Alligator mississippiensis: one gene and its partners. The protein of the gene in region 1 binds, or shares a complex with, the protein of each later gene. Links are inferred from orthologs where the notes say so. Each region holds a gene or a part of one and is shown in the gene's direction. Other genes may lie near its edges. The genes, in order: EXOSC4, EXOSC7, EXOSC9 and EXOSC1.

The links.
Region 2: EXOSC4 (region 1) and EXOSC7 share a complex: the UniProt entries of both Homo sapiens proteins name them as parts of the RNA exosome core complex. The link is inferred for Alligator mississippiensis from reciprocal best matches to the Homo sapiens genes EXOSC4 and EXOSC7.
Region 3: EXOSC4 (region 1) and EXOSC9 share a complex: the UniProt entries of both Homo sapiens proteins name them as parts of the RNA exosome core complex. The link is inferred for Alligator mississippiensis from reciprocal best matches to the Homo sapiens genes EXOSC4 and EXOSC9.
Region 4: EXOSC4 (region 1) and EXOSC1 share a complex: the UniProt entries of both Homo sapiens proteins name them as parts of the RNA exosome core complex. The link is inferred for Alligator mississippiensis from reciprocal best matches to the Homo sapiens genes EXOSC4 and EXOSC1.

The regions. Positions count from the first base shown.
Region 1 is NC_081826.1:912,166-918,914, forward strand, and holds EXOSC4 (exosome complex component RRP41), read left to right. Parts: upstream 1-4,672; 5' UTR 4,673-4,721; coding exon 4,722-4,892; intron 4,893-5,225; coding exon 5,226-5,432; intron 5,433-5,524; coding exon 5,525-5,884; 3' UTR 5,885-6,236; downstream 6,237-6,749. Other genes in the region: OPLAH (5-oxoprolinase), read right to left, coding at 57-195, 390-555, 758-953, 1,112-1,235, 1,355-1,469, 3,386-3,577, 4,260-4,433. UniProt on the Homo sapiens protein: Non-catalytic component of the RNA exosome complex which has 3'->5' exoribonuclease activity and participates in a multitude of cellular RNA processing and degradation events.
Region 2 is NC_081828.1:136,669,024-136,676,170, forward strand, and holds the start of EXOSC7 (exosome complex component RRP42), read left to right. Parts: upstream 1-4,135; 5' UTR 4,136-4,306; coding exon 4,307-4,363; intron 4,364-7,147. UniProt on the Homo sapiens protein: Non-catalytic component of the RNA exosome complex which has 3'->5' exoribonuclease activity and participates in a multitude of cellular RNA processing and degradation events.
Region 3 is NC_081825.1:114,556,083-114,563,831, forward strand, and holds the start of EXOSC9 (exosome complex component RRP45), read left to right. Parts: upstream 1-4,731; 5' UTR 4,732-4,814; coding exon 4,815-4,880; intron 4,881-4,956; coding exon 4,957-5,051; intron 5,052-7,188; coding exon 7,189-7,308; intron 7,309-7,427; coding exon 7,428-7,530; intron 7,531-7,749. UniProt on the Homo sapiens protein: Non-catalytic component of the RNA exosome complex which has 3'->5' exoribonuclease activity and participates in a multitude of cellular RNA processing and degradation events.
Region 4 is NC_081829.1:100,691,123-100,698,176, reverse strand, and holds EXOSC1 (exosome complex component CSL4), read left to right. Parts: upstream 1-4,051; 5' UTR 4,052-4,122; coding exon 4,123-4,153; intron 4,154-4,239; coding exon 4,240-4,355; intron 4,356-4,639; coding exon 4,640-4,714; intron 4,715-5,253; coding exon 5,254-5,342; intron 5,343-5,585; coding exon 5,586-5,619; intron 5,620-5,926; coding exon 5,927-5,977; intron 5,978-6,114; coding exon 6,115-6,199; intron 6,200-6,340; coding exon 6,341-6,447; 3' UTR 6,448-6,684; downstream 6,685-7,054. Other genes in the region: palmitoyltransferase ZDHHC16, read right to left, coding at 695-809, 911-981, 1,069-1,192, 1,304-1,389, 1,740-1,787, 1,934-2,067, 2,475-2,503, 2,631-2,719 and 2 more. UniProt on the Homo sapiens protein: Non-catalytic component of the RNA exosome complex which has 3'->5' exoribonuclease activity and participates in a multitude of cellular RNA processing and degradation events.

The DNA.
Region 1 (6,749 bases):
CCCCTTGTGGCAGCAGGATCTAGCCAGGAGACCGCCGGGGCAGCCAGTGACCCCACCTGAAGAAGAGCATGGAGCCCCCGCCAGCCGCCACAGTGTTGATATCCAGCTGCGGAGCCTGGATGCTGATCCCGGCCGTGGTGGCCTCAAAGACGTGCTCGTACTCCCCAGCATAGCGGCTCACGTCCGTCGAGGTGCCTGGAGGGGGGCATGGGTCAGATGTTTGCCCCTGCCCCCTGGCACCGATATCTCAGCCCTGACCACCATCTCCCACTCCAAGCCAGTGCCAGGGCCAGGGCCAGGGGATGGGGAAACTGGACCCCCAGGAGCCTGGCCAAGACACCTCCCTGACCCCCAACCCAGCAGTCACCCCCAGTCGTGGCAATTCACACCTCCCATGTCGAAGCCAATCACGGGCTGCCTGTCCTCGTGGCTATAGGTGGTCATGGCGTAGCCCACAACGCCGCCAGCCGGGCCAGACAGGATGGCACGGGAGCCGCTGAACTGGTCCATGGGAGTCAGGCCCCCGTCGGAGCGCATGAAGAGAACTGGGACGTCCTGTTGGGGCAGCCAGGGAGCAGCTGGGGTCGGGGAGCTGCGGGGGTGCCCCAGCACGGGGGGGCAGGAGTCTATAGCAGGTGCCGGGTCATGTGGAACAGGGCCAAGGAGCACAGAATGGGGCAGACTGGTCCAGCCACATAGGAAGGCAAGGGCGAGGAGCGCTGTGCAGCTCTGAGGTGCTGTGGTGAGCTGTACTCACCTGGAGCTGCCGGACAAAGCCGGCGCGGAAGCTGTGGAGGTAGCGCTGGATGCAGGGAGTGAGGTAGGCGTCGGCACAGGCTGTGTATCCGCGAGGCACCACTCGCACCATGGGCATTACCTCCGAGGATAGTGACACGTGCTGGAAGCCCAGCTCCTGGGCCAGCACACCCACCTGCTGCTCGTGGGCTGGGCACCTGCCAGAGGCAGCAGGGAGGTGGGCAAGGCAGCCCCAGCACCCATCCTGCTGCCATGGAGAGGCATGCAGGTCGGGGCACAGGCACGGCCCTAGCTCCCTGTGCTCCTTCCCAAACTGTCGCTGCCCACCCCAAGTGCCCACGCCGCAGGGACTCACGCATAGGAGTGTAGCAGCACCACAGCCAGGCTCTGGATGCCCCGAGCCAGCAGCCCCTGTAGCTCCGTCCGCAATTTGGCCAGGTCCAGGGGCTGCTGCACCACCAGGACATCCCCCGTGGAGCCTGGAGTGGGCAGGAGCCAGGTCAGAGGGGCCCATTCGTACACCAAAGACTGCCTTCCCCAACACCCTTGCCTTGGCCCAGCCTGCCTGCTCCCACCCAAACCAACCCTGGGGACCCACCTTGGAGGCGCTGACTCGTGTCAGCCCCGGGGAGCCGGCAGTCGGCACGGTGCGGGATCAAGCGCTCATCCACCTCGATCACCTCTTCGTACAGCACCTCGGGCACCGTCACCGCCTGGGCACGACATGGGGGCAGGACAGGACACGGTCACTGCCCACCCCAGCACAGCTCACTGACCAGCCATGCACAGAGGGCTGCCCCCCAACACTGCCCTGCTGGCCCCTCCACTAGGGCCTGCCCCCCTCCCAGCTGCCAGGGCCCAAGCCCAGGCTGGGGTCCCCTGCTCTCACCCAGTGCCAGGACCAGCCTGGGGTGCTCACTCCCCCCAGACATACAATCCCCACCATCTTGTGAGCTCTCCTGTTTCAGGGTAATTTGGGGGTGGCTCCCCCCACATTCCCCAGCTTCTGGACTGAGACTGTCAGCTCAGCCGCTGACAGGCCAGAGTCACTGCACCAGCATGAGCCCTGGGAACGGCTGTGGGACTTGCCAAGGCCGTGCAGGACGTCTGAGGCACAGCCTGACACCGACCCGCCGGGCTCAGCTCTCAGGCTGCAGGCTCTGAGGCCACCACCACACTGGGCTCTCTCAGGGTGACCCCTGCCCCCCAAACCCTCTGCAGTGTCTTGCTTTGGGCTACTGCCCCCCACAGCACAAGCCCAGATCACGAGAGCACCAGGTCCAGCTACGTCCCAGGGACCAAGGGAATGACCAACCCCACTCGCCGGCCCCATCAGACTCCAGGGAGTCCAGCAGCGCAGCATCTGCAGAGGGTCTGGAGACAAAGGGCTTGGGGGGAGACTCCAGCTCCTTCCCAGGGCACTAGGGGAGGGGGAAGAGGCTCAGGCAGGGCATCCAGAAGCCCCAGGGAGCGAGAGGGAGGTGGAAACCCTCAGGGCAGAGCCTGGCCAGGACAAAGCAGCTGCAGCCACGTGGCCGTGTCACCGGCCAAGTGCAAATAAAGGGAGGCAGGCACAGGGGCCCCGGGATTAGCAGTGGAATCCGGTGCCAGCTCCTTCCCGGCACCAACCCCTCCGAGGCCGGTTCCCAAGGGCGTTTGCTCCGGCTGAGCGCGCAGGGGCCAGCCTGCGGCTCCTGCTCCCCACGGGGCGAGGCCAGTGCCCTAGGGATTCACGTGCCGGGTCCACGAGGGCGCCCAGACGGCTGCGACACCTCGCACTTGAGCTATGAGCCGTGGCACAAAGGCAGGGCCATGCCTGCCCCCCCCTGCTCCTACCCCACCTGCCTGCCCAGGAATGGGGCTCGGGGAGGGGGGACAGGGCCTCCACGGGGGATTCAAACCGACGCTGCGCCATGCGCCGATTCCAGAGGCACCTGCAGTCCCGCGCGAGGCCACGGAAGCTGCAACAGACCCACAGGGAGCCCGGGGGCAGGGGGAGCAGTCACAAGAACACCAGAGCTGCCCCAGCCTGGGGCAGACCCAGTCCATCCTGCCTGTCTCCTGTGTCCCACGGGGCAGGGAGCGGAGCTGGACGGAGAGCGACCGGAGCTGAGCAGGGTTTTCCCCCGTTCCTCTCCCTGCAGCCCCCAGCACTGAGCTCCAGGCAGGGCGATGCAGAGACCGTGCCCCTCGCTCCCTGCCCCAGAGCCACCCATCGATGCCCCTTTCCTCCACGCACGTGTCCGAGCCCTGGTGAGCGTGGCTGAAGTCTTGGCTCCCACCACCCCTGGGGCCACGAGCCCCCCATTTAATGCTGCGCTGGGAGGGGAAAGACCTCCCTGAGCTGGTGTTAAACCTCCGCCTGCTCAGCCCACGCGTGACCCTCACTCCTGTCGGGGACGGAGACGGTCCCTGGGATTTGTTACTGACTTCCCTCTTCCCCGCTGAGCGCGTCGTAAATCCTGCTCCTGCCCCCCCTGGCGTCTCTTCTCCAGACTGCCAGACCTGGCCTCGTGACTCTCCTCCTAGGGAAGCTCGTCCGAGCCCCTCAGCATCCTTCCCCAGGTCTCCTACCTCCGTATGCAGGTGCGGGCCGCGGCATGGTGCCGCCGGTGCGGCTGGGACTCACCAGGTCGAAGATGCAGGGCCGGGCCTGGTTGCCGATGTGCAGCAGGTCACGGAAGCCCCTGGTGATGAGCAGGGCGATGCGCTCGCCCTTGCGCTCCAGCAGCGCGTTGGTGGCCACGGTCGTGCCCATGCGGATCCACTCGATGCGCGACGTGTCCAGGGGCTGGTCTCGTGGGAAGGGCACGCCGCACTCCTGCGTGGGGGGAGGAGGGGAGCAAATCACGGCCACGCCAGTCCCCGCAGCCCCCCGCTTTCACAGCGCCTGGTGCCCGCGGGCAAACTCGCTCCTGCCCCCGCGGGAGCCATCAGCGCCAGCACCTCGGCCCTGATGCTGCAGATGGGGAAACTGAGGCACGGACAGGAGGGAGCAGGTCGCGCCCCAAGGAGCTGCACCAACACCTTCCCGGGGGCCGGACCCCTGGGGCCGCAGCAGCGCAAGGAGATGGGACACCTGGACGAGGATGCGGAGCGGCCGCAGGAGCAGGGACGGGGGGTCGCGGGGAGGCACGAGCTGAGCCTGTTGTCTCTGGGGCTCACGCCCGTCCCGACAGCGAGCGTGGCAGAGAGCACCACGCCCCCCCCACGGCGCAGGGGCTGCAGCAACTCGCCCCGTCAGGGGAGCAGCTGCGCGGGGGCCGCCCCGCCCTGCCCTGCCCTGCCCTGCCCCGGGCTGGACGAGACCCCCGGGGACCCTGCCCCCCCGCCCCGCCCCGCCCCGCCAAAGCCCGTCGCACACGGGGGGGGGGGGCAACACTCCGCAGCCTCCGAGCGCCCGGCTTGCACGCACGGGGGGGGGGGGACCGTTGTGGCACGGCTGCCCCCGGGTCCTGTCTGCTGCTCCCGCCCGCCGCTCCGCGCCGCGCCGCGCCGCCCACCTCCTGCAGCAGGCGGCGGATGCCCTCGGTGGGCGCGTCGCGGTAGCGGCCCGGGTCCTGCGAGAGCAGCTTGAGGGCGCGGACGCGGCCGGCGGGGCCCCGGGCCAGCACGTCGGTGAAGGTGCCGCCGCGGTCGATGGCGAACTGGAACCCGGCGGCGCGCGGCGCGGACATGGCGAGCACCGCCCGCACCGTCCCGGTCCCCACAGCGCCCGGCCCCGCGCCTCGCGCCGGGGGCGGGGCCTGCGCGGGGGGCGGGGCCTGCGAAGGGGGCGCGGCCGCCACACGTGCAGCCGCCGCGGGGCACGCCGGGAGCGTCCCTCCTTCCCGCTCAACGCCGCGCGCGCGAGGCAGGCCGGGAGGCGTAGTGCGCGGGGGCGGCGCGGGGCAGGCCGGGAAGCGTAGTGCGCGGGGCGGCGCGGGGCAGGCCGGGAAGCGTAGTGCGCGGGGCAGGCCGGGCCGATGGCGGGGCTGGAGCTGCTGTCGGAGCAGGGCTTCCGCGCGGACGGGCGGCGCGCCGGGGAGCTGCGCAAGCTGCGCGCCCGCATGGGCGTCTTCGCGCGGGCCGACGGCTCGGCCTACATCGAGCAGGGCAACACCAAGGCGCTCGCCGTGGTCTACGGCCCGCACGAGGTGGGCCCCCCCGACCCCCCGGGGGTCCTGTCCCATCACACCCCCCACGGCGGGGAGGTCCCAGGGGTCCTGCCCCCCATCAGACCCTCTCCTGGGGCGGGGAGGGGCCCCAGGGGTCCTGCCCCCTCCCTTGCCCCCCCAGGGTGATGCTCCTGGTTAGCCTGAGGGGTGGGAGGCACTAGGGCCAGGCCATCCAGGGGCTTTACTGGGAGCGCCCCCCCCCCCCCCATGCAGCAGCCCCTGCATCTCTGTGCACCCAACCACGGGCGGCCTTCCCCCCACCCCTGGGCAGAGCTTGGGGGGGTCCGGCCCGTGACCCCGTCGTCCCCGCAGATGCGCGGCTCCCGCAGCAAAGCGCTGCACGACCGGGCGCTGGTGAACTGCCAGTACAGCATGGCCACCTTCAGCACGGGCGAGCGCAAGCGCCGGCCCCACGGCGACCGCAAGTCCAGCGAGATGACGCTGCACCTCAAGCAGACCTTCGAGGCCGCCATCCTCACCCAGCTCTACCCCCGCTCGCAGATCGACATCTACGTGCAGGTGTGCGCGGGCGCGGGATGGGAGGTTTCCCGGCGGGGGGCCGGGCTCTGCGCCGTGCAGCCGGGCCCACCCACTGTGCTCTCCCCCCCCAGATCCTGCAGGCAGACGGCGGGAACTACTGCGCCTGCGTGAACGCGGCCACGCTGGCCGTCATCGACGCCGGCATCCCCATGCAGGACTACGTGTGCGCCAGCTCGGCCGGCTTCGTGGAGGACACGGCCCTGGCCGACCTCAACTACGTGGAGGAGGCGGCCGGGGGCCCGCAGGTGGCCCTGGCCCTGCTGCCCAAGTCGGACCAGATCGCGCTGCTGGAGATGAACGCGCGGCTCCACGAGGACCACCTGGAGTGCGTCCTGGACGCCGCCACCGCGGCCTGCCGGGCCGTGCACGCAGTGCTGGACCAGGTGGTGCGCGACCACGTGCGGGAAGTCGCCACGCTGCTGGGGGAGTGAGCGCCCGGGGGGGGGGCACTGACCTGCCTCCAGGCCTGTGGGGGTTGACTGCTGCCTCCTGGGCACGGGCCCTTCCCTCAGCCCCGGGGACGCTGGGCCAGCACTGGGATGTGTCCCCTCGCCGCGTGGAGACGGACCCCGGTGCCCCTCGCTGGGCGACGGGCACCACCGCTGCGCTCTGGCACGGCCTGCGTTTTGGGCCTTGGCGGGAGGTGCCTGCCTGCAGGGCCTGCACCCTGGGCGGGGGGCTACTGTGGCTCATGGGCCGTGCCGGGAGCCCAGGCCAGTCCCCTGGTAGGAGTGGGTGTTGTTTTGGACAAGCAGCTCTGAATAAAGTGTTATTTTGGTGCAACTTGTGGCTGTTTCTTCTTTCCTGTGCACGGCGGGGAAGGCTGGGGGGCCACAGGGAAATGGGGACACCCAGCCCGGGTGCTGCTGGTCCCTCTCGATCCGGCCTCGCTGTGCACGGCCTGGGCTGAGTGAGCACCTGCCTGGACCAGCCCGGCCGTGCCTGGGGGCTCCAGCATCACTCCTGAACCTGTCCCTAGAGCTGTGCCGCCTGCCCAGTGTGCAAGTGCAGGCCTCCCTGGCCTGGGGAGCATGGGGCTCTGAGGGTCCTGGGCGTGGAGGGGGACTCTCGCGCCCCGCAAGGCTGGGCTGGGGTCGCGGGGGGAGGCCCCGCAGTGCCCCGGGCGAGGGGAGCGGCTGGGAGCCGGGGAATGGGCGTGCATGATGTCATCCGGCCCGCGCAGCTCCCCCTGGTGGTGCGTGCAGCCCCCTGCCGGCAGCCGCGCGCATGCGCACTGCCGCGGGGGGGCGCGGGGCCGCTCGGCGCTCGACTGCTCGGTCTGCGGCGCGGGCGCTC
Region 2 (7,147 bases), on another chromosome or scaffold:
CGGCCCGGCCCGGCCCGGCCCGGCCCGGCCCGGCCCCACGCGGCGGCGGTGGCGCCTCCCCCTGCCCTGTCAGCTCGGCCGCAGCTCCCCCTCTGGCCCCCGCGCGCGGTCCGCGGGAGCTTACGCGCTCCAAAAGCCCGATAGCCGGGTCCTGGCCGCAGTGGCCTACAGGAAAAGGCAATCGGGACTCGTAGCAGAGGTGGTGTCTTTTATTAGCCCGCCAAAAAAAATATCTTTAATTGCAAGCTTTCGGGCACAAAAAAGGACCTGGATGCCGCGTATCGAAGAGCCAAGTTGCTCTCAGAGAGCCTCGACCCACTTTTGGGTTTGGGGTCAGCACTTTTCTTTTTTTTTACGGCTGTTTGCTGGGCGGTAGGGGTAGAAATGAAATGCTTCAGCTTTAGATGATCCACTTCTGCGCTCCCTCCCTGGCCACTTAATGCAATGCAAAGTAAATAAGAAAAAGACTTGTTTGCATAATTGTTCAGCAAATGCAGTAATTCTGAGCTTACAATACAGTCATATTTAAAACCTGGCAATGCTGCTTCCAGTCTCTTACTCCCAGTCCCTGTTCCCAGGCTCATCTTTACGCAGCTAGAGGTCCGGAGCGATGAATTCGATCCACTCCAGAGCTGGAATTGCATCCAAGTGTCTATTGACAAATCAATCACAATGTAAAATAGTATCAAGTATGTCGGTCTGAATGAGGAGCTAAAAGGAGCCCACGGGACATAGGTGATGTTATTTTACATGCCCCACGGCCTCCTCTCAGCTCCTCATTCAGGCCTATGTTCTTAATATTATTTTACATTTCAATTAGTCAACAGACATTTTGGGGGAAAATCAAACTCTTGAGCACACTGAATTCATTACTCCCGACCTTTAAGTGCGCAAAGATTAGCTTTGAGAAAGGAACCGGGAACAAGGGACCAGGAATAAGGAGACCACATTTGCATCATGGCCGGAGCCATGTCCTCTTGGCCTCTGTGGACCTGTTTGCCTGGATGCCACAGCAGCAAGGCCTCACCTGGGCTCAGGTGCAGACAGCCTCGTGGCAGAGCTGTGTATGGCAAGGAAGGCATTGCCCTGATGCAGCTGCCCAAGCATCACACCCAGCTGTCTCTGCCTCCCCAGCTTGAGGGACTAAGAGTCCATTGAGAGCTGGGAGCTTCCCCAAGGCTAGAGCAGGGCTCTGAAGCTGCAAGAAGATGTGTGTTAACTGCTCTGTTGATTTCCCCCACAAGCAATACAAGGCCTGAGGAAATATGGCTGTGCCTGACCCATTCTGCTTATTTCTTGCATTTCCCCCTTACCTGCTATTGTATTTATTTAAATATTGTTTCTTGGCCTTTTGGCTAAGATCAAGTGGGACATGGGGGCATTTGAACCTGGGGCTTCTGGGCCTGGAGCTTGCACATAGGACACCTGCCTGGATTTTGGGAATATCCAAAGCCCCAGACAGATAAGTCTGGGAGGGAGGATACTTGCTCTGTGGTCGAGCCACACAGACTTGCCGATTAAGTTCTGCTCAGTTGAATTTTGGAACTTGACTATTGGGCCTTGCCCTGTTGAATTTGGAACAGATTTGGCCTTGAGCAAGATAAAATTCTATTTAAATTGTAATAGCGGTCAAGCAGGGGCTGGCTTTTCTGGCTGGATGGTGTCTAGTAGAATGGAGTCTTGATCAGTTGCACTGGAGCATTTAAGATCATGTGGAGGTACCACTTGAGTTTATGTAGTCCAGCCCCTTGCTCAAAGGCAGGAGCATCCCTGACTCATTTAGGTGCTCCTGGGAAACAAAAAATAGACACGTATGTGCAAACACACATGGGTTTGTGCACATGGATGCCCCCATGTTACACCCAGGTTCTTAGCAGCAACTCGTAAGAACAATAGGGAAGGACAATACATATTGCTGTTTGGCCCATGTTAAAAAAAATGCAGAACCTGGCAACCTTTTCTTTGAAACCTCCTCTGTCCCTCAGATTTGGGGGAAGGAGATGAAAAACCACTGTGAGAAACCTGCCCAAAGCTGGCCAAGTTCCAGTGTTGCCAACTCTCATGATTTTTGGCATTGCTGTTAAAGTCTAGGGTTTGGGAATACAAAAACCTTAGCTCTCACACACACGCACGCGCACCCCCCCCCCCCCCGGTTTTCGCATCCCCAAAGCATAGACTTTAAGAGCAACGCCAAAAATCATGAGTTGCCAACACTGAAGTTCTAAACCTTTGAAATACTGCACTTTGCTCATGCTCAGTAGATAAGAAAGCTTCTTTTGACAGTATCACAAAAATGCTAACCACAGTATGCTACTCCTTGAAGATTAAAAAAACACATACATGATGTCCCCCTCAAAAAACCCTATGTTAAAAGAATGTTAAGGTTGCAAAGTCAAAATGCTCAAAATGTAGGAAATTCCGAATGAAGGTAACCTGTCGAAGCTCAGTTTAGCAGCCCGATGGTGCCTGTATCGTTATGACAGTCACTAGCTCTAATTACAGCTTCCTGGCTAGAGCATCTTATTCTTCTGCTCAGGGTCAAATTGATCGCCATATTTGGGGTCAGGAAGGAATTTTACCCCATGATCAGGTTGGTTTGGACTGTGGAAGTTTGTCTTTCTCTGTAGCCCTCTAGTCCCAATCTCTTGAATCTACATTGAGAACATTTCTGTGCCAGGTTAGGGTGCTGGGTCTGTATTCCTTCAGGGTTGATGGTAGTCTTACGTAGAGTTTAGATTATGGTTTGTATAGGGTGGTTTGGATAGGAACGATCCTGCCTCAGGCAGGGGGGTTGGACTAAATGACCTCTGGAGGTCCCTTTCAGCCCTACTGCTCTATGGTTCTATACTATGTATTCCAGATGACTGCCTGCCTCATCCCGTGCCCAAAATAGCAGACTGGCCATAGCAGAGGTGCTCACATTGCAGCCCTGCCAGATTCTAATGAACATGCAAATTCAGCTAAATACCTCTCATCAACAACCTCAGACACGACATGAGAAGCAGAAGTACCCAAAAAGACAGAGCTCATTGGATGAGCTATTCACTACTTCTCCTTTTAGTTCAGTTTGAATCCCTGTGTTTGATTTGTCACACCCAATTCAAGCGCTGCTCTGAAGACAGAGCCATAATTTCCATCTAGGGTTTCCTGTAGGCCATAACAGAAGTGCTTATGGCGCAGCCCTGTCATATTCCAACAAAACTGCAAATTCTGCTAAATACCTTGTCACTAGGACTCAAAAAAGGGGGCTTCCTATAGCTGCTATAGTGTTGCATATGGCATGTAAGCGCATGGTATGCTTAAATGAACTTATTTTAAGGAAATTATTGGGTATTATTATCCCCAGTTCCATCACTGAGGAACCAAGTCTGAGAAATTACGGTCAGACCTATTTACTACTTTTAGGTCCCCCCAGTTTGAGACACCTTGGACACCCCACCCCCCTATTATATAAGGTCTTTAGATGTCCAAAATACAAGTCCCTTTGACCAGGGCTCAAGAAACACCCAAGAAGGAAATCAGTTAGACTACCTGACCTGTGAGAAGCATAAATGAGGTGACCCATAGGATCTCCTGCATCAGTGTTAAAATTCTGCCATCTCCCCACTTTGAGGCATTGTCTTTGTAATCACCATGTTCTTTCAGTGTCCCTGGGGTGTGTGCACGCATGCACCTTCTATGTGACTCACCCGCACCGTGACTCAGTGCAGGCTGCACCTCCATCAAGAGATGCAGCAGGTGAAGCTGCTGGCTTAAGATTCATTTCTTGTCCCCCCTCCAGAGACAGGGACAAGCTGAGTGCTGCTGTGCATAGCTGCAGGGGGTAGCTGTGTTGATCTAAGATCAGGGTAAACAGGGCTCTTTGGGTAAATGTGGTATCTTGCACTGCCCCCTGAGCCTGCCCAGCCAGCACTGCAGGCTCTCACACTGGTTTCTATGTTATGCACTCAGTGGATTAGCGCTCAGAGACTACGATGCGCCATTACGGTGGTAGGCAGGTAAACCGCGTGTGCTCAGCCGCCACCTATACGCACATACGTTTTTCCAAGTAACACGGATGCGCATGCGCAAACCCTCAACTTTCCCTGCGCATGCGCCCAGTTAGTGCCTCACTCCTCACAGTTCCTTGAGGCGGGAGAGCCTGTGACGCAGGGGGCGTCAGTCGTTCCACCACGCGTCACGGGGTGGAAGTTACGTACACCCGATGCTGTGCCTCACGTCGGCTGACAAGGGTTCGAGGAACTTCGTTGCGTTTTGATGACGGCATCCGCAGTGAGCCGGAAGTGTTTACGAGCCGGCGCGGGGCATGGCGTCTGTGGTGCTGAGCGAGGCGGAGAAGGTTTATGTCGTGCACGGGATCCAGGTAACGGGCTCCCCTCCCCCAGTAGCTCCGCCTCGCTGCTCCCGGAGCGCCGCTTCCCCCCTCCCAGCCCCATGGAGGTGCCCGCTCCTGGCTCTCACTCCGTGTGGCCTTCAGGGGCGCGAAGAGACCCCGTGGGCGGACTGGTTTAGGCGCAGGGGATTGCTCTCTGCAGTCCTGGGCTTTGTCTTGTGAGGGAGGGCGGTGGTGCGCTAAATAGTGGGGGAGGGCGCCGGGGCTGTGCACCTTGAAGGCTCACAAACCTGTGTGTGTGCACGTGGGCATAGGTAGGCTTGCTTTGGTGAAAGCTGCCCTGCCTTTCACATCTAGGCATCACAAGGTTTCATTAGCTGAAGTGTGCTTCATAAAGTGCTATGAAAAAGAAGCCAGGCTTTTCACTAGGGGTGCACCAATAAAGACTTTATTAGCTGTTACCCATAGTTAATTATTCACCAGGCATGTCGGATGTTACTGACTTAATAAGTGATTTACAGGAGCACAGCTGGGTGGTCTAGAGAGCAGCGCCCTGCAGGTAAGTCTGGAGGGGAAGGGAAGGAGCGGGGCAGATCAAGACCCCCAAGGTGAAGGAGGGAGCGGGGCTGGGGCTTGCGGCACTGCCCATCCAAATCAGTGACTAGGACCTGGGGCATGGAGTGGGACAGAGCCGCAAGTGGCTTGTCCAGGGTATCAGCATCCTAGTGCTGAAAAATGGTGGTGGGGGCATTTGAACTAAAGCTCATCAAATGAGCTTTAGTTCAAGTGCCACTGCCACCCTTTTTAAGCCCAGAGCAGAGCCAAGCAGGGCAAGGTTGGATGCAGGTTGCCCACTGCAGGCTCGGGGCTCTCCACTCTGCTGCCTTTGCCTGGGAGCCTCACGCTGGCCTCACAATTTGCCACCCTCACTGCTGCCGGGAGGTGCAGGGCTCCTGGGGAAAAGGCAGCAGGGCAGAGAGCCCTGAGCCCACAACAGGCAGCCTGCATCCGCCCTACGCACAAATCTGGAGGGACACATGACCCCACAATGCCCTCTCTGGGGCTTGCACAGTGATGGGGAGCCATCCCACCCCTCCCCCCACACATTCCTTGGACGAGTCACCCATAGCTCCGTCTTGCCCTTGCCCCAGGTCCCATTCACTGCTCTGGCTGGGCAGCATCCCTAATTCCTGCCCCACTCCCTCCCTCACCATGAGGGCCTTGATCTCCCTCCCCCATGCTCTTCCCGCCCACCATAGATTTACTTGCAGGGAGCTGCTCTCCAGGCTGCCCGGCCACATTCCTGGCCATGTGTATGCGTGTGGCCATGCATATGTACGCGGCGTAAGGGAGTCCTGGCCAGAAGGCATAATTATTATATTTATCAGTGAACTTTATCAGATGCACCGGACCAAAAAAAGCCAATAGCTGATAATGTAAACTTCTTTTTTATCGGTGCCAATCTGAAATGCAGCTGATATATTAGTGCACCTCTACTTTTCACAGTGTCTGATAAAAGTGCACTTTAGCTCATGAAAGCTTGTGTTAAATATACATGAAAGGCAGGGTAGATTTGTGCTAAATATATTACAGGCATAGTAGAAATATATGTGACTCACCCTGCATCTCGTAGACTCACCAAAGTATGTATGCACATGCATGCATGTGCGCATCCAGTTTCGTGAGTCTACAAGGTGAAAACCTCTCAACATACATTTTTATCCCACTTTTTATGTATATTTAGATATGAGCCAACAGTGTGCCCTTGTTGCCAAGGAGGCTAACAGCATCCTGGTCTGCAGTAGTAGGAGTGTTACCAGCAGATTGAAGGAAGTGATTATTTGCTTCTTCAGCACTGGTGAGGTCACCTCTGGAGTATTGTGTTCGGTTTTGGGCTTCCCACTACAGAAAGGATATGGACAAGTTGGAGAGAGTTCAGTGGAGGACAGTGAAAATGGTTAGGGGGCTGGGGCACAGGACTTGAAGAGAAGCTGGGGGAGCTGGGTGTATTTAGTCTGCAGAAGAGAAGACTGAGGGGGGATTTTATAGCAGCCTTTAACTACTTGAAGGGTGGTTCCAAAGAGGATGGAGCTAGACCAGGGATGGACAAAATATGGCCCATGGCCCGGATCCGGCCCATGAGGCCATTCTATCCAGCCCATGGGGCTCCTAAAAAATTTAGAAAATTAATATTTATCTGTCTTTAGTTCATGTCAAGAGTAACTGGAACCAGGGCCAGTAGGTCCCAGGGGAAGCCCAGTGGGCTCCTGCCCCAGCAGGGGCTTCTGACCTGGGACCATGTGGCTGCACTGGCCAGAACCTCAGGTAAGGGGTGTGGGGGAGGGCAGGGAAGGAGCCTGGAGAAAAGTGGTCCCTCCCCAGCCCCATGGGCAGTGCTCCCTGCTGCAGCTGCTTGCAGCCCGCACAGAGCTGTCCTGAGCAGGCAAAGGCAGCCCCACGCAGACTGTGAACAGCTGTGGTGCAGGGCATCAGGCACAGAGTGAGGGAGGGGCCTCTTGTCCCCACTCTTGTCCCTTGGTGCTGCGTTCAGCACCAGCTTGTAACCCACCCCCACTGCCAGCCTGGGTCCCGCGCCAGTTCTGGGCTTGCCCTTTGGGGCTGTGCACAGTGGCAGCAGCTGTGCCCACCCCGCCCCCTGCCCAGAGCTTCCGCACTAGGCAGCCCAGAGGCAGTGGTGGTAAACACCGCTCGGCTCAGCAAGCAGGGGGGGCTGCAGCTGCTGCCACCAAGGCACAGCCCCGACGGGTGAGCCTGGAACCAGTGTGGGGCCCCAGCTGGTAGCAGGGGTAGGTT
Region 3 (7,749 bases), on another chromosome or scaffold:
TCAAAAGGTTGAAGTAAGGACGGGAAAGGTTTAAGTTAGATTGGGATCCTGGTAATAGACACTCATATAGATACCATCATATGGTGCACCGATGAAAAATGTGAAGATGTACGTTTCAACTTTAATGCCTTTGTCCTACTATATTAGAGACCACCATGCAAGGCCAACATTAGCATTAGAGAGCCATCCTTTTCTGGAGAGGAGATTTAAGTGTGAGAAAAGTGTAAAAAATCCAGTTGAATAAGCAGTTTATGTGAACTTGAATCTGAAAGCTGAGGCAGCATACTTTAGCTTAATAGGAGCTAGTGTTTTAGGCACATGGATTTTTTTTGTACCGATGTATCGCAGAATCAGTGGGGAGAATGGTCTAATTAAAACAACATTAAAAGCAGAAGGCTGTTCAGGGTGATGCATGGAGCTAAACAGGAGTTAAAGATGAAGGGTGTTCCAGTGCTAAAGCTGGGACATTAAAAAAAAATTCACAAAACCTGGTAGAAAGGAGCTACAATAGCAGCAAAAGATCTTTACAAGATCTTTGTCGTAGTCTACAAGCACAAGAGAGGAATAAAGGGTAGAAACACTAGTATGTAAAGATCACCTGTCAATATGTTCTACCTTTTGTTGAGAAGGAATGTTTGTCTTTTGATAAAGTGCTTCTTGGAAAAACTATACTAATAACTAGGCTCCCTTTGTATTACATTTTAGAGCAGTTTTTTGTAGTAATTAAATACCTCATCTAGCACTTTCAAATATTTCTCCAAAGCAGCTGTTGTCAAGTAACTGCTGTTTACATACAGGAAAAAGGAGGAGCAAGGGAGGAAAAAAATGCCAGTAACACTTGCTTTATTTGCTCACGAGAAAGGAAGGCAAGTTGTGAATTTCCAAAGGCAAACAGGTGCATGTATACTGCTGGCCTTTAAACAAGAATACAAACTTAGGGTAGCAGCCTCAACCTAAAGAAAGGGACCAAAAACCATTATAAATGCTTAGAACAGAAAAATACCACATCTCTGCAGTAAAAGATCTGAACTAACTAGCGATAAAGAGAGGTTGTTAGCTGTGTTAGTCTGAAGTCAGACAGAAGGCAGGGCAGAGTTGCGCCATATAGACAACTAATTCAGAAATACGCATGTATAAGGTGCAACTCCACTATAATTTACAGATATTTGCTTCTGTAGGAAAATACCATATTTTCTTGCATATAACCCACCCCTTCTCCCAAAAAAACAGCTGAGGAAAATTGGGGTGTACCTTATATGCAAAGAAAAGGGATGCCCATGGGCCTGAAAATTTGGAGAAGGGGAGGTAGAATGTTGGGAACCTCTCACCACTACCTCCCCTACTATAACATTTCCAGACCCACAAGGAACTTCCCTCTCTAACCACACACCAGATCAGACAGGCACTTGGGGTTGGTATGCAGCCAGACTTGGTACACCAAGTCCAACCCAGCACATGGGCCCAGACGCAACATGCCAGATCTGATCCTGTGTGCTGGGTCCAGAACAATGTGCCAGAATGGACCCAGTATGCCAAGTCCCCATACTGGGTTTGAAGCCATATGCTGGCTCCAGGGCCACACATTAAGTCTGACCCCATGTACTGCCTGGGACTGTATACTAGTTCTAGCAAGCATGTGGAGTCGGACTTTCGGCCCAAGATCCAGTGCATTAGGTCAGTCCACAGACCCAACCAGCATGCAGGGCTGGCAGCAGTCCCAGCTCCCAAGCTGCTGCCACTCTTACCTCTTTCAACAAATTTTTCTTCTTCAGGTTCCCCTTCAAAGGTGAATACTATAAATGAGGGTGTGCTGTATGAGAAAAAATACAGTAGCCTGGTGTTACCTACTTACATTTATGCTAGTGAGTAGAGGTGCACTGATAGATCAGCACTGATAAAAGGAAAATTTATGTTATTGGCAATCAGCTTTTTTTGGCTGATGTGGCTGATGTCACCAATAAATGCCCCATGCATGCGTGCAACTGCACGCATGTGCACAGTCAAGAATGCAGCCTGGCAGCTTGGAGAGTAGCATCCAGCTGGTAAGTCTGTAGGGGAAAGGGCATAGGCAGATTGAGGCCCCCACAGCAAGGGAGGGAATAGGGCAGGGGCAGGCACTGCCCAGCTTGGGCAGAACACAGGACAGAGCCATGGGCGGCTCATCCAGGGGGTGCAGGTCCCACTGCTGCATGCACCCCTGGGGGAGGTATAGGGGCATGTGCCTCCTGGATTTGTGTGCGGGTTGAGGGCAGGATGCCCACTGCAGGATTGATGCTGGGGGCTGTCTGTGCTGGCCTCTTCCCAGCGGAAGGGGCTAGGCAGGAGCTGTGGGCAGGGTGGGCAGGGGCAAGGCAGGCAGCAGGGAATTCTGGGGTTGACATGCCCCCCATGTTTCCTCTGAGGGTGCGAACAGTGGTGGGAGCTGCTCTCCTCCTGCCTGGATAAGCTACCTGTGGCTCCATCTTGTACCCCACCCTGGCCAGGCAGCACCTGCCTCAGGCCCTGTTGCACTTTCTCCCTCGCTGTAGGGGCCTCGATCTGCCCTCACACAACCCTCCCCCCCTAGACTTACTGGCCAGATGCTGCTCTCCAAGCTGCCAGGCTGCATATTGGCTATCAGATCAGTATCAGCTGATATGGCTGGTAAATAATTGGCATCAGCCAAAAAAATCTTTATCAGTGCACCTGCACTAGTGAGAGACACCAGGGGTCTGTGCAATTATGCAGGTGGAGCAGCTCCTATTGTTTTTAACAAATTATTTTAGCAGTATAAGGATAAGAGTATTAATGGAGTATTGATAATGGGTATTAATAAACCCAACCATTTTGGATTTATAACTAATTAATTATAAACCCAAATCAGTAACACATCCTTTTCCCCCACACATGTATGTATTTTTCAAGGGCTATAGGATTTGCTTCCTCTAAAGTCTGCATAGCTGTCTTGAGGGTGACTACTGTAATATTCCTAAGGTTATACTGTGTTGGCTTTTTCATTTTAGTAGCTGCAGGAGCTGCATGGAGATGCCAGTTTGATCAGCCTTTAGGATGGGCTCCATCAGTGCACAGGGCAAATGCTTGGTTACATAACCATTACTTATTCCAAAAATATCTTGAGGGTCTGGTAAATGAGTTATTCCAAATACACATTTAATTTATACAGTTTTTAGAACCAATTTTCAGAAGTAAAGACAGAAGATTAAGGGTTAGAAGAGGCAGGTTTACTAGCAAACGTTTCTAAGGCTGAAGAAAAATTACAGATAGAAGGTTTTGGTTTTATTTATAATACAAGTTATGACAGGACCACCATTAATTAATATGGCAGCCCCTTGCAGAAAAGGACAAAAAATTTTGCACGAAGCCTGACACTTGCCAAAAGGGTTAAAGGCAACTACGTTAACAGCAGCAGCTCAGGATCCACCTGGCTCTCTGGATGTATCTTAAGGTAAGTAGGCATGCAGCTGAATCACTGCAAGAGGCAGCTTAACCAGCTATTCCTGGAGCTGCTTGCCTGGCTCAGCAGAGAGGAGTAGAAGTGGTGTGAAGTCCTGGATTGCCATGCAGCTCATGTTCACTGTGGTGCTTCCTTGTGCAATTCAGGTTCTCAAGTGTTGCCCCCCCTGCCCAGGCACAGCTGACCGGGGGTGGGGGGAAACAACTGGAGCCCTCGTTTCTCCAACAGCAGGAGCAATGTGTCCTCCTTGGGCTGTCCAGCTGCCATATCCTGGGCAGTTCCTGAAGCATCCTCCTGAATTAAGGCAATCAGGACTCATAGTAGAGAAGATATCTTTTATTAGACCAACAAGATGTTTGCAGAAAAATTGCAAGCCACTTAATCCTTTAATCCTTACTAAACACAAAACGCCCACATCAGGCATTGGAGAAGATTGTAAAAGTTCTCCTGGGTAGCAATGAAAGTTTGTATTTCCTAGGATTTCACAGAGGAGTCAACAGATGGAAAACTCCTAAGCGATGAACTGACTGCCCAGAGTTTTGACTCCTCTGTGAAATCCTATGAAATATGAACTTTCATTTCTACCCAGAACTTTCACAATCTTCTCCAATGCCTGATGTGGGTGTTTGTGCCCGGAAGCTTGCAATTAAAGCTTTTTTTTTTTTTTGCAAAAATCTTGTTGGTCTAACAAAAGATATCACCTCGAGTAGAGTTCTGATTGCCTTTTCCTCTATACCAATATGGCTACAACCTGGAGACCTGACTCCTGAACTAACACTCAGGAGTTAAACCTGCTATGTCAACAGGCAATGTGAATCGGCAGGGTGCTGCCATGGACAGGGATAGCCCAGCTCTCCTCACTAATATAACTGACACAGAGGCGGGCATGCCCACATCAGGACAGCAAGTATCACATTTTTTTTGTCATCATAGAAAATGCCGGTTGGGAGGGACCCCAGGAGGGCACCGAGCCCAACCCCCTGCTCGAAGCAGGACCATCCCCAACTAGATCATCCTGAGCCAGGGCTTCAAAACCTCCAAGGACTCAAGAGGCCACGACCTGTGCCAGCGTTTCGCTACTCTCCTGAACAAGCCCCTCGCCCACGGGCCCCGCCCCGCAGAGAACAGGCTCCGCCCCAGCCCGGGGGGTGGCGGGAGCACACAACCCTTAGCGTCGCCCCTTCTACAACTCAGTGGGAGGGTGAAACGTCTCCTGTGTTTTAAAAGCGGCGGCGCGGCCGCCACCCCCCCGCCCAATCAAAAAGAAGGCGCGGGTCCTGCCGGCGCCTGCGCAGTGGTATCTGTCGTACGGCTGATGACGTGACAGGGTGCGACTGGAAGACTGGTAAGTCGCGCCACCATGAAGGAGACGCCGCTGTCCAACTGCGAGAAGCGCTTCTTGCTGCGCGCCATCGAGGAGAGGAAGGTGTGAGACCAGCCCCCCGCTTTCCCGTCTTTTCCCCCCACTTTTCTCCCCGCTGATTCCACTCTCGGCCTTGCAGCGCCTGGACGGGCGGCAGAGCTACGACTACCGCAATGTGCGCGTTTCTTTCGGCACCGACTATGGCTGCTGCGTCGTGGAGCTGGGGAAGACCAGGTAGCGCCGGGCTGGGGGAGGCGCAAGGAGGTGCATGAGCAGTGGGGCGCACGAGGCTGGGGCAGCTGGGGCCGCGTGCAGCCTCCCTCAGTGACGGGAGCCGCGGCTGTAGGGCCGCGCGCAGCTGTTCGGGCCTGGGAACACGGGGGGCGCATGCGCGGTGCCTCGGGCGCGCCTGCCTGGTACTGCGCGTGCGCGCAGGGCTGCGAGGGGGTTCCTGAGGGCAGCTCCAGCCCCAACCCCTTCTGTAGTAGGGCGGGCTCTGCCCAGTGTTGCCCACTTCGTATCATCCTTCCAGCCCTTGTACTATGTACAATCAAGAATAATAAGCGTTCAAAATGTACAATGATTTTTGAGGCAGCTCACTGATGCAGGATGGGTGAAACCTGAGTCACTCTCAAGGGAGTCTTGACTGACTTCTGGGTTTGCTGTCAGCACTTTCTTATGTCTGCCTGCCTTGAATAAAGAAATGCTGCAGCTTTGACCCAGTTCTCACTTAGTGCTGAGTTACGGTGATAAATATAAAGTAAATAAGAAGAATTATTTGCATCCTGCTGCGGCCGAGGTGGTTAACGTGTGCTGGGAGATCCCCTGGAGAGGCCCTGCTACAGATGAAGGCAGGAGGCCCCTCCATCCATACCAGCCTGACCCTGGGGGGAAATTCCTTCTTGACCCAAATACATCAGTCAGTCTGACTTTTAGCAGGATGAGACCCTCTTAGCTAGGACCTTCTGGCTTTAAGTCCCAGCAAGAGTGCTGGCACACTCCAGTCTCAAACCTCAGCCATGTCTGTAGCCAACTCCTGGTTCCTCTGAGGAGCGCATGGTGGGGAAACAAAACCCTATCACATCTGAGTTGTCAGTGACTTGGGGCATTTTTACATGTGCTGTGGGATGCAGTGCCAGGAACTTTAGTTAGCAAGCTGCTCTAATTGCATGTCATGTGTATTGGTGTCCCTGCGCTGAAAGAATGGCAGCTGGGCGCTTTGAAATAGAGCTCATTGGACATGTTTTATTTCAAAGCACCCTGCCACCATTTTTTAGTGCAGAGATGCATGGCAACGCTGATGCACGTGACTCGGAAGGCTGCTGGAGTGTGTCAGTTTCCACGCTCCAGCAGACCTGATTGATCGAGCCTGCTCTGACATGCTGGATTTCCAGTGCATTGGAGCAGGCTCTGCACACATGTATAGGAGCCCTTGGAGACACCCTCGCTCCCTCTTACATTGCCAAGTGCTATGTTACCCAGGTTACAAGTAGCCTTGTGGATAGACTGCTGCTAAAAGGGGCAGAAGCAAGTCTCCAGGCCCACTTTTTATTTGCTTGTACTTGAAAATGCAAAAGCAAATGTTTATCCCAAAGTCTGCCTGGCTACCTCTGGCAGCATAGTATAGAGTCTCACTTATACCAGCTGGGGAGACGTAAGAGGCAGGAAGAGGGTGGCACGCAGATTGGCAGCAGGTCTTTTTGAATTTGATGAGTTCTCCAAATTTCCCTCCAGCTGTACCCAAGATTTACAGGTGGCTGGTTGTAATAATCTAATAAATGATTTCTGGTTGGATTGGATCTAAAGATCATGTCTCCCCCCAAAAAGTCCCTTGTGTAATAGTGCAAACATCAGTGGTAGTGCCAATACCAAGTTAAACCAGTACATGAGGTTTTACAGGATTGAAGCTAGCAGTTACATACCCTTCATGGGTGTATGGGGTTTCACAGTGTATTTAGTTGTAAAGCAGGCATGTGTAAACAAGTGTTAACATAACTTTGGATATTTAATATCCTACTTGTGACTTTGTACAGTAATCTCAAATGGAGCTTTGCAGTCCCCTATAGATGGTATCTCCATTTTTCATGCGGGGGGTGGAGGGGGGGAATATGAAAGATACAAAATTTGGTAAATTCTTCTAGCTCACAGTGAGAATAAAAGCTACATTTTAAACTCCACATAGCACTCTACTGCCTAGTTTCTGTTAGTGCCCTAGTAATGGTTACCTTGAATACATTTAGCTGTCTTGCTTAAAAAATAAACTGAAAAAATTGGGAGGTGTAAAATACAACTCATGTATGTTGTGCAGTGTTTAACTTCTTTCTGTCTTCATTCTGAAGCCTGTGCTTCTGGGGGTGATTTTCTTTTGCAGAGTCCTTGGACAAGTCTCATGTGAACTTGTTGCCCCAAAGCCAAACCGGGCTACAGAAGGTATACTTTTCTTTAATCTTGAGCTCTCTCCAATGGCTTCACCAGCTTTTGAGCTGGGCAGGTACGTGGCTTTTGCTGCAGTGACAGCAGGTAGGATTGATATAAGGATGACCATGGTGTCATTGTTCTCCCTTATTAATAACTCACAACTTAAACATGTGCATATTATGTCTTCTACAGGCAGTCTGAATTGCTGGTGAAGCTGAATAGGTTATTAGAAAGATGCCTAAGAAACTCAAAGTGCATAGATACTGAATCTCTTTGTGTTGTTGCTGGTGAAAAGGTATGAAATACTCTGAAATCCAGAGCTTTTTAACATTAGGGGTTTAACAGGTTGCATATAGGATTTGGTTTCTGTTGTCTCTTGAACAATAGTTCCTATGTTTGTTTTAAAGCTCTAGCCCAAGTGACTTGTGCATATGTAGCTCTAAGCATGTAGTTAGTGGGCCTATGTAATAGTAAATGTTTGTAGGAACAGAATACTTTAACTTTTTACTTACTA
Region 4 (7,054 bases), on another chromosome or scaffold:
CCCACGCCTGGCCCGGCCGTGCCGCCAGTGCCACCAAGCTAACCCAACCCGCTTCCTGCCGGGACCAGAGGGCAGCACCTTCGCTGTGCCCACCCTGCACCCAGGAGCCCCCGCCACACAGGAGGGAGCAGGCAGGGCCCAGGCACGTGTCGCACTCCACATGCCACCAGAATAAACACGTGTGTTTTGGTACAGCAGCGTCAGGGTGTTGGCAGGCGCCGTCAGACCGGTGGGGCTGTCAGGTGGCCCTTGCGGCGACCTGCTGCCTCCCCATCCTTCCTGGCTGCAGTTCGCGCCCCAGGGCAAGGTCCCTATTTCTTTGCTCCTCGGAGGCTGCTGAAGCACCAGTGTTTAGACCAGCAGGTCCAAGCCGGCCCCTCTGCGGAGCTCCACACGGAGCCCAGCTGGACCATGGGCCTGTTCAGCTAGGCTCCCCTGGGCCAGACCAGGCAACAGCGAGGAGGTGGCCGCATTGGTTAAAAACGGGTTTTATTTGACACAAAAAACCCAGGGGGGCGGCCAGGCAAGGCCCCCTCTGCAGCAGAGGTGCTGGTGGGGCCGTGGCCTGTGCAGCCCCGTGCACCCTCCCAGGGGCTGCCTGCAGCTCACGAGGGGCAGGAGGGGGCAGAACAGACATCCGCGTTTGGACCTCAGGGCTCCGGGCACCGAGGCTGGGGAGGGTCTGCGCTGGTGGTCAGATGGCCAGCAGGGGTGTGTGCCGCTGCGTCACGCACGGGGGTGTGTCCCAGCTCAGGCCAGTGCCGTGGGGCAGGTGCGTGGATGGCAGCAGGACGCGGGTGAGCCAGTGCCTGGGAAGGATGCAGCCCATGGTGAATGCTGCAGCCTCCCAAAGCCACAGCCCTGGGCCCCCTGCACCAGGGTCTTGGGCTCGGCCTAGAGCCCCCCTCACCTGGGCACATCCACTCCGAGGAAGACCCGCCAGTTGTCCCAGGCGCCGAAGCTGTACGGGTTCCGGAACGCCTGCGGGAGCAGAGACGGGGAACGTGACGGTGACTGACCGTGGCCGCCTGCCCCCCAGGCTCCCTGCCCCCCAGCTCCTACGCTCACTTTGCCCTTCTTCTGCAGCCGCTGCCGCTCCTTCTTGTTGATGTGTCTCTCGATGCTGGTCTCCCCGCGGGTGATAAGGGCCGCGTGCCACAGTGTCAGCGCCCCCAGGGCCAGGGCCACAGAGCTGGGGGCAGGTGGAGGTTGGGGTCAGGGCACTGAGTCCAGGCAACCTTCCCCGCTCTGCGCGCCTGGCTGCATGGAGCTGCCTGCTCCCAGGGCCCAGCGCCCCCGTTACCTGCACAGCACCCACAGGTAGACGATGCTCTTGTGGAAGGCGCGCTGGCGGAAGGAGAAGGCCGGGGGCGGTGTCTGGTAGTAGGTCTGCAGGGAAGGACAGGTGGTTGGTTAGGCCCGTGGGGGCGGCTCTGCTCCCTCAAACCCCACCAGACGCCCCGAGAAACCAGGACCAGCCAAGAGGACCCTCCCCCGCCCCGCGCGCGCGCACACAGAGCAGACGGACACTTGGTGAAAGCAGCGGGGCAGCAGGGCAGGGAGCAGCTGCGTGGCAGCCTGGGGCATGAACCCCGCAGGCAGCAGGCAAGAGCCACGAGCTGGGGCCTTGGCCCTTGGGGCAGCTCCGCGCCCGCAGGCGCAGCAGAGCCCAGGCGCAGGCACATGCGAAGCAGCTGCCAAGGCCCGGCCTGCTGGCCCCGGGCGCGGGGATGTCCCACCTGGTTGGCGGCTGCCTGCAGGCGCTCCTTCTCGAGCTGTTTCATTCTCTGGGGGGATGGAAAACACGGCGCAGTTACAGGCCTCACGGCACAGGCGCCCCGGGGCCAAGAGAAGCCCAGGGCCATGTCTGCCTCTCCCTCTCTGTCTGCCCTGGAAAGCTGGAGCGCGTGCAGGCCGAGGTCGTGTCACTCACCTCGATGGCCGCATAGGCCTCACGGAACATGTCCCAGCCGCTGATGCTGCAATAGATGCAGCCCATGGTCATGAAGAGGCAGAAGGAGAAGAAGTAGCGGTGGTTGTAGTGCCCCACGCAGTTGTTCAACCAGGCTGCCCCGGATTAAAGATGGGTAACAATAGGAGGGGGCACCGCGCCACACCCCTGAGCCGGGCTGCCGTGGCGCTGCTTGGACTCAGTGGGGCAGGGACAGCCCCCCGCCTGCCCCCAGTCTCAGGCAGCTGCAGCTCCATCCGGCGCCTGCTACACCTGGTGCGCGGGGACCTGGAGTCTGCACCTGAGCCCTGCCCCTGGCAGCCTCGCCAGACACCCCTTGGCTCCAGCGCCATGTTCCCCAGGGGCCCTGGGACACAGCCCCCAGCAACACCAGGGCTCGGGGCTATGCTGCCCCTCCCACACGGTCAGCCCCAGCGCTCGGTGCACCCCAACCCCCCGACCCTTTCCCAAGAGCCAGGCTCCCTAGAGAGGGGCCAGCCTGGCCGGTGCTGCAGAAGGATACGGCAGTGATGGTCCATCTTGAGCACGCACCTGTGAGGAGAGTGGACGGCTGTGAGCGCCTGCCGGGGGTCTGGGGCGAGAAGCCACTGCAGGAGGGAGGGAAGGGGGGCGACCGCGCTGTGCTGCGGTGGGGGGCCTGTGGGACGCGGGTCCCTACCTGTTGCAGATGCTGCAGTGGTGGGTGCGCGCCGGCTTGGGGGCGATGCACTTGCGGCAGATGGAGACGCCGGTGAGGTCGCCCTTGGCCTGCAGAGGGAAGGGCGGTCGGCGCTCGAAGCGGGCCCCCCCGGCCCCCCCAGCCCCCGCGCCCTACCTGCGGCGGGTAGCCCGGGGCGGTGGTGATGGCCATGTAGTAGTGGAAGACGATCATGAGCAGGTTCCAGTGGCCGTAGCTGAGGTGCCAGCAGACCCAGGCGGGCGCGTAGGTGCGCAGGATGAGGGGCAGCAGGCAGACGTAGACGATGGCCACCACGGAGCTCGTCAGCACGATCACCAGCGCCACGAACGCCTGCGGGAGCAGCGCCCGCGCTAGCCCCGGGGCCTGGGCCGGCCGCCCCCCCGCCCCCCCGGCGCACGGCACTCACCACCCCGAACCAGCGGGTGACGTGGTCCACCAGCCAGTACACGGGCTCGAAGAGGGCGTCCAGCACCACGTCGCCGTCCGTGAAGGAGTTGTACAGCAGCGAGCGCAGGCTGAGCCGCCCGTAGCTCCACAGCTGCGCCGCGCGCCGCGCCAGCCGCCCCCGGCACCGCCGGCCCAGCCGCAGGCACCGCAGCGCCAGGCGCATCGCCGCCGAGAAGGTGCGTCGCCGGCTCCTCATCCCTGCCCTGCGCGGGGGCACCCGTCACGGCCCGCCGCGCCCGAAACCGGAGCCGCGCGGCGCGGCGCGGCGCGGGGGGGCAGGAGCTCGGGTGAGCCGGCCGGGGGGGGGCGGCAAGAAGTAGGGGGACAAGGGGGGGCTGGAGCTCAGGGGATGAGGGCTGGGGGGGAGCGGGGGGGCAGGGGCTGAGGGGGCAAGAAGTGAGCTCAGGGGACAAGGGGGGGCTTGGGGGGGCGGGGGGACAGGGCTGGGGGGGCTGGAGCTCGGCGGACGAGGGGGGGCTGGGGGGTGGGGGGATGGGCTGGGGGGGCTGGAGCTCGGGAGACAAGGGGGGGCTTGGCGGGTGGAGCTGGGGGGCGGGGAGACGGGGCTGGGGGGGCTGGAGCGGGGGGTTGGGGGGTGGAGCTGGCGGGAGCAAGAGCTGGGGGGCCAGGGCTGGGGGGGAGGAAGCGGGGGGGGCAGGGCGGACCCCACGCGCGCGGTCCCGGGGGGTGCGAAGGGCAGACACGCGCCTCCCCCCGCGCTGGCCCCGCCCCCGGCAGGCCCCGCCCCTCACTCACCCGCCGCCATCCCGGCCCGGCGGCCCGGCTGTCAGCGGCGCGGGGCCATCGCCGCTCGCATTGCGCCTGCGCGGGGCTCGGCGCGCAGGGCCCGTCGGGAACTTCTCCAGTGCGAACTGCAGGTCCCGGCGGACCCCGCGCGGCGCTTGCACGTGTGGGATGTCACGTGCCGGACCGGGCCAATAGTGCGTCGGCTTGCAGCGGAGCGGGGGATGGAGGCCAATGGCAAGGCGGCTTTTATTTCTCGTAGCGACGGCGCGGAGCAGACATGGCGCCGCCCGTGCGCTACTGTATACCTGGTAGGTGTCGTCCCCCCTCCCCGCCCGACAACCGGGGCCCGCCCTTCATGCGTCCCCCTCGCTAACCCCCCGTCCCGTCCCCGCAGGGGAGCGGCTGTGCAGCCTGGACGAGGCGGCCGCGGGCAGCGGCACCTACACCCGGCGCGGGCACGTGCACTCCGCGCTGGCCGGGGCTCTCCTCGCCCGCGACCTCGGCGGTCCGGTGAGCGGAGCGGAGCGGAGCGGGGGGCACGGCTCGGGTCCCAGCCTGCCGCGGGGACCCTTTCTGGGGGTGGGGGGGCAGAGTTGGGGTGAGAAGCTGGGGGTGCTGGGGGCCGAGCTGAGGTTCCAGGTTGGCCGGGCCCTGGGCCTTCTCTCCTGGCTGCCTTGAAGATGAGGGGGCCCGGCTGTGCAGAGTGGTGCAGGAGCCGCATGGGCTGTGGCTGCGCTGGGGCTGTCTCCGCGAGCGGCTCCAAGCTCACGGGGCACGTCCCTCCTGCCTGGCAGCTGCCCGTGGTGTCCGTGGTGCGAGACGCCGAAGCCCAGCTCCTGCCTGACGTGGGCGCCATCGTCACCTGCAAGGTAACGGTAGCCGAGCGCCCAGCCCGCTTGGGTGGGGGGCAGGTGGGGCTGGGCTTGCCCCGTGCTGCGGGTGGGCAGCCCCCGTGCCCGTCTCCCCGTCACGGGCTGGTGCAGGAGCCGTGTGGTTCAGCCCCGGATCCGTCTGGGTCCCGGGGAGCCCCTGCTTCCCACCGAGGGCTGCCCCCGTAGCCAGCCACGGGGCTGTGGGCTCCCAGTGCCCTGCTGGGGGTCACAGGGCGGTAACTGATCCGCTCGCACTGGTGGCTGGGAGGACTGGGGTGGCAGGAAGGATGCTGGGCTCCTTAATCTCTGGAGCTGGGGTTGCTGGAGCCGTTGGCTTGGGGCAGAGGCTTTGCACGGGGAAGAGCTGGCTTCTCTGCCAGTGCCCAGGCGCTGGGTCGCTCTGGTCCAGAGGCTGATGGGCGACGGGGTGGCGGTGCCGTGCTGGGCTGGGCTGATGCACTGGTGCAGGGGCAGGTCCTGCACCAAGGTCCAGGCTCTGCTGACCCAGCCGTGGGCCGGGCCCTGTCTCCCTGCAGGTGTGCAGTATTAACTCCCGCTTCGCCAAGGTGCACATCCTGTACGTTGGCTCCACGCCCCTCAAGTCAGCTTTCCGCGGCACCATCCGGTAGGCCCTGGCCTGGGTCAGGACTCCCCACCCCTTGCCCTGCCCCTTCCAAGGCAGCTGGCCCAGCTTGGCGGCTCTGGGGTCTCCATCTCTCCTTCCCCCCACACCCAGGCCCAGCCTCACATGCACCCGGGGGCCTGCAGCGAGGTCCCACAGGCAAGCCCAGGTGGGCAGCGCTGCCTGCGGCTCTAGGGGCGGAGCAGGCTGCACTCCCAGTGTTAAGCTCCCCATCTCCCCTTACAGGAAAGAAGACATCCGAGCCACGGAGCGGGACAAGGTCAGTGGTGTCCTGCCTGTGCTGGCAGCGTATGACAACTGGCATCTGCCCCTCCTCTCACCGCAGCCACAAGGATGGCCGGGGGGAAAAGGGTGTTGCTGACCCAGAGGGTCCCAGCCATGGCTTGCATCCCTCTGGGGGGAGGTGGGGTCCAGTGAAGGGGGGAGGGTCTATTCCTGTGGAGGCCTGGACTGCCTGGGGCTGCTGTCAGGTCCTGGGGCTCAGCAGCCTCCCCCATGGCTCCTGGTACTCACCCCAGGAGCCGGTGGCCTCCCCCACCCCCTAACCAGCCCATGCTCTGCGGCAGGTGGAGGTTTACAAGAGTTTCCGCCCAGGGGACATCGTTCTGGCTAAGGTGGTATCCTGCCCTCACTGGGGTGCGCGAGGAGGCAACAGGGCCTGGTGGGACTTCCCTCTCTCACGGGTGGGGGGGTGTCCTGCTCGCCCAGCACATAACCTTGCAGGCCAGAGCCCTTTCCTTGACCACCGGAGCAGATCTCGCTGGGTGACGTGCAGTCCAACTACCTGCTGAGCACGGCCGAGAACGAGCTGGGCGTGGTGGTGGCCCACGGCGAGGCAGGTATGAGCGGGACTGCGGCTCCAGCAGCATAGGCCCCTTCAGTGGCTGGGGTGGGCTGAGCTGTGTCCCCTGCTCCCCAGGCTGCATGGGGAAACAGGAGGAGCTCTCCTGGGCTCTCGGTGACACTGCACTGGTCCCTAGGGGCACGGCTGGTGCCCATCAGCTGGTGTGAGATGCAGTGTCCCCGGACGCATACCAAGGAGTTCCGCAAAGTGGCCCGTGTGCAGCCCCAGTTCCTGCAGACCTAGGCTACCCCGTGCCCCCCGGCAGGATTACCTGAGCCAGGAGCCAGCCGGAGCCCCCTTCACCGAAGTACCTGCAGCATCACCTGGACTGGTGCCCACGTGCGCTGGGCTGGGACTCAGGCCTCCACCAACACCTGCCAGGAACCGGATGCAGCTCTGGCTCCCTGGGCCCTGCCCGTCCTGCCCCCAGGCAGGATTTTAGATTCCCAAGCTGTGAACAATAAAGGCTTTCCAAACCCCTCCCCTCCTTGGTGATTCCCAGCCCTGAGTGGGGGCAGGGTTAGAGGTTGCCTGGGAGAAGCCGGTTCATGGCCCTGCTGGGGTTGCAGCCTGTGCCAGCACTCCTGCAGCACTTCCTGGGCCGTCTACACCAGGGTGTGGGGAGCAGTGGACTCCTGGCTTCCAGGGCTGGGGCAGAGAACAGGCAACCTCTAGCAGCTGCAGGGTCTTCTAGCCTGGGTCTGTTGCTGTGTAGAGGATGGCAGGGGCTCAGTGTCCTGCGGCTGTGAAACCTGTGGGTCCCCCCCAGGCTGGACCAGGTGGAGCTGCTTTGCAGTGAGTCTGCCCTCCCCCCACCTGGTTGGAGCAGCAGGAAACAATGGTGGGCATT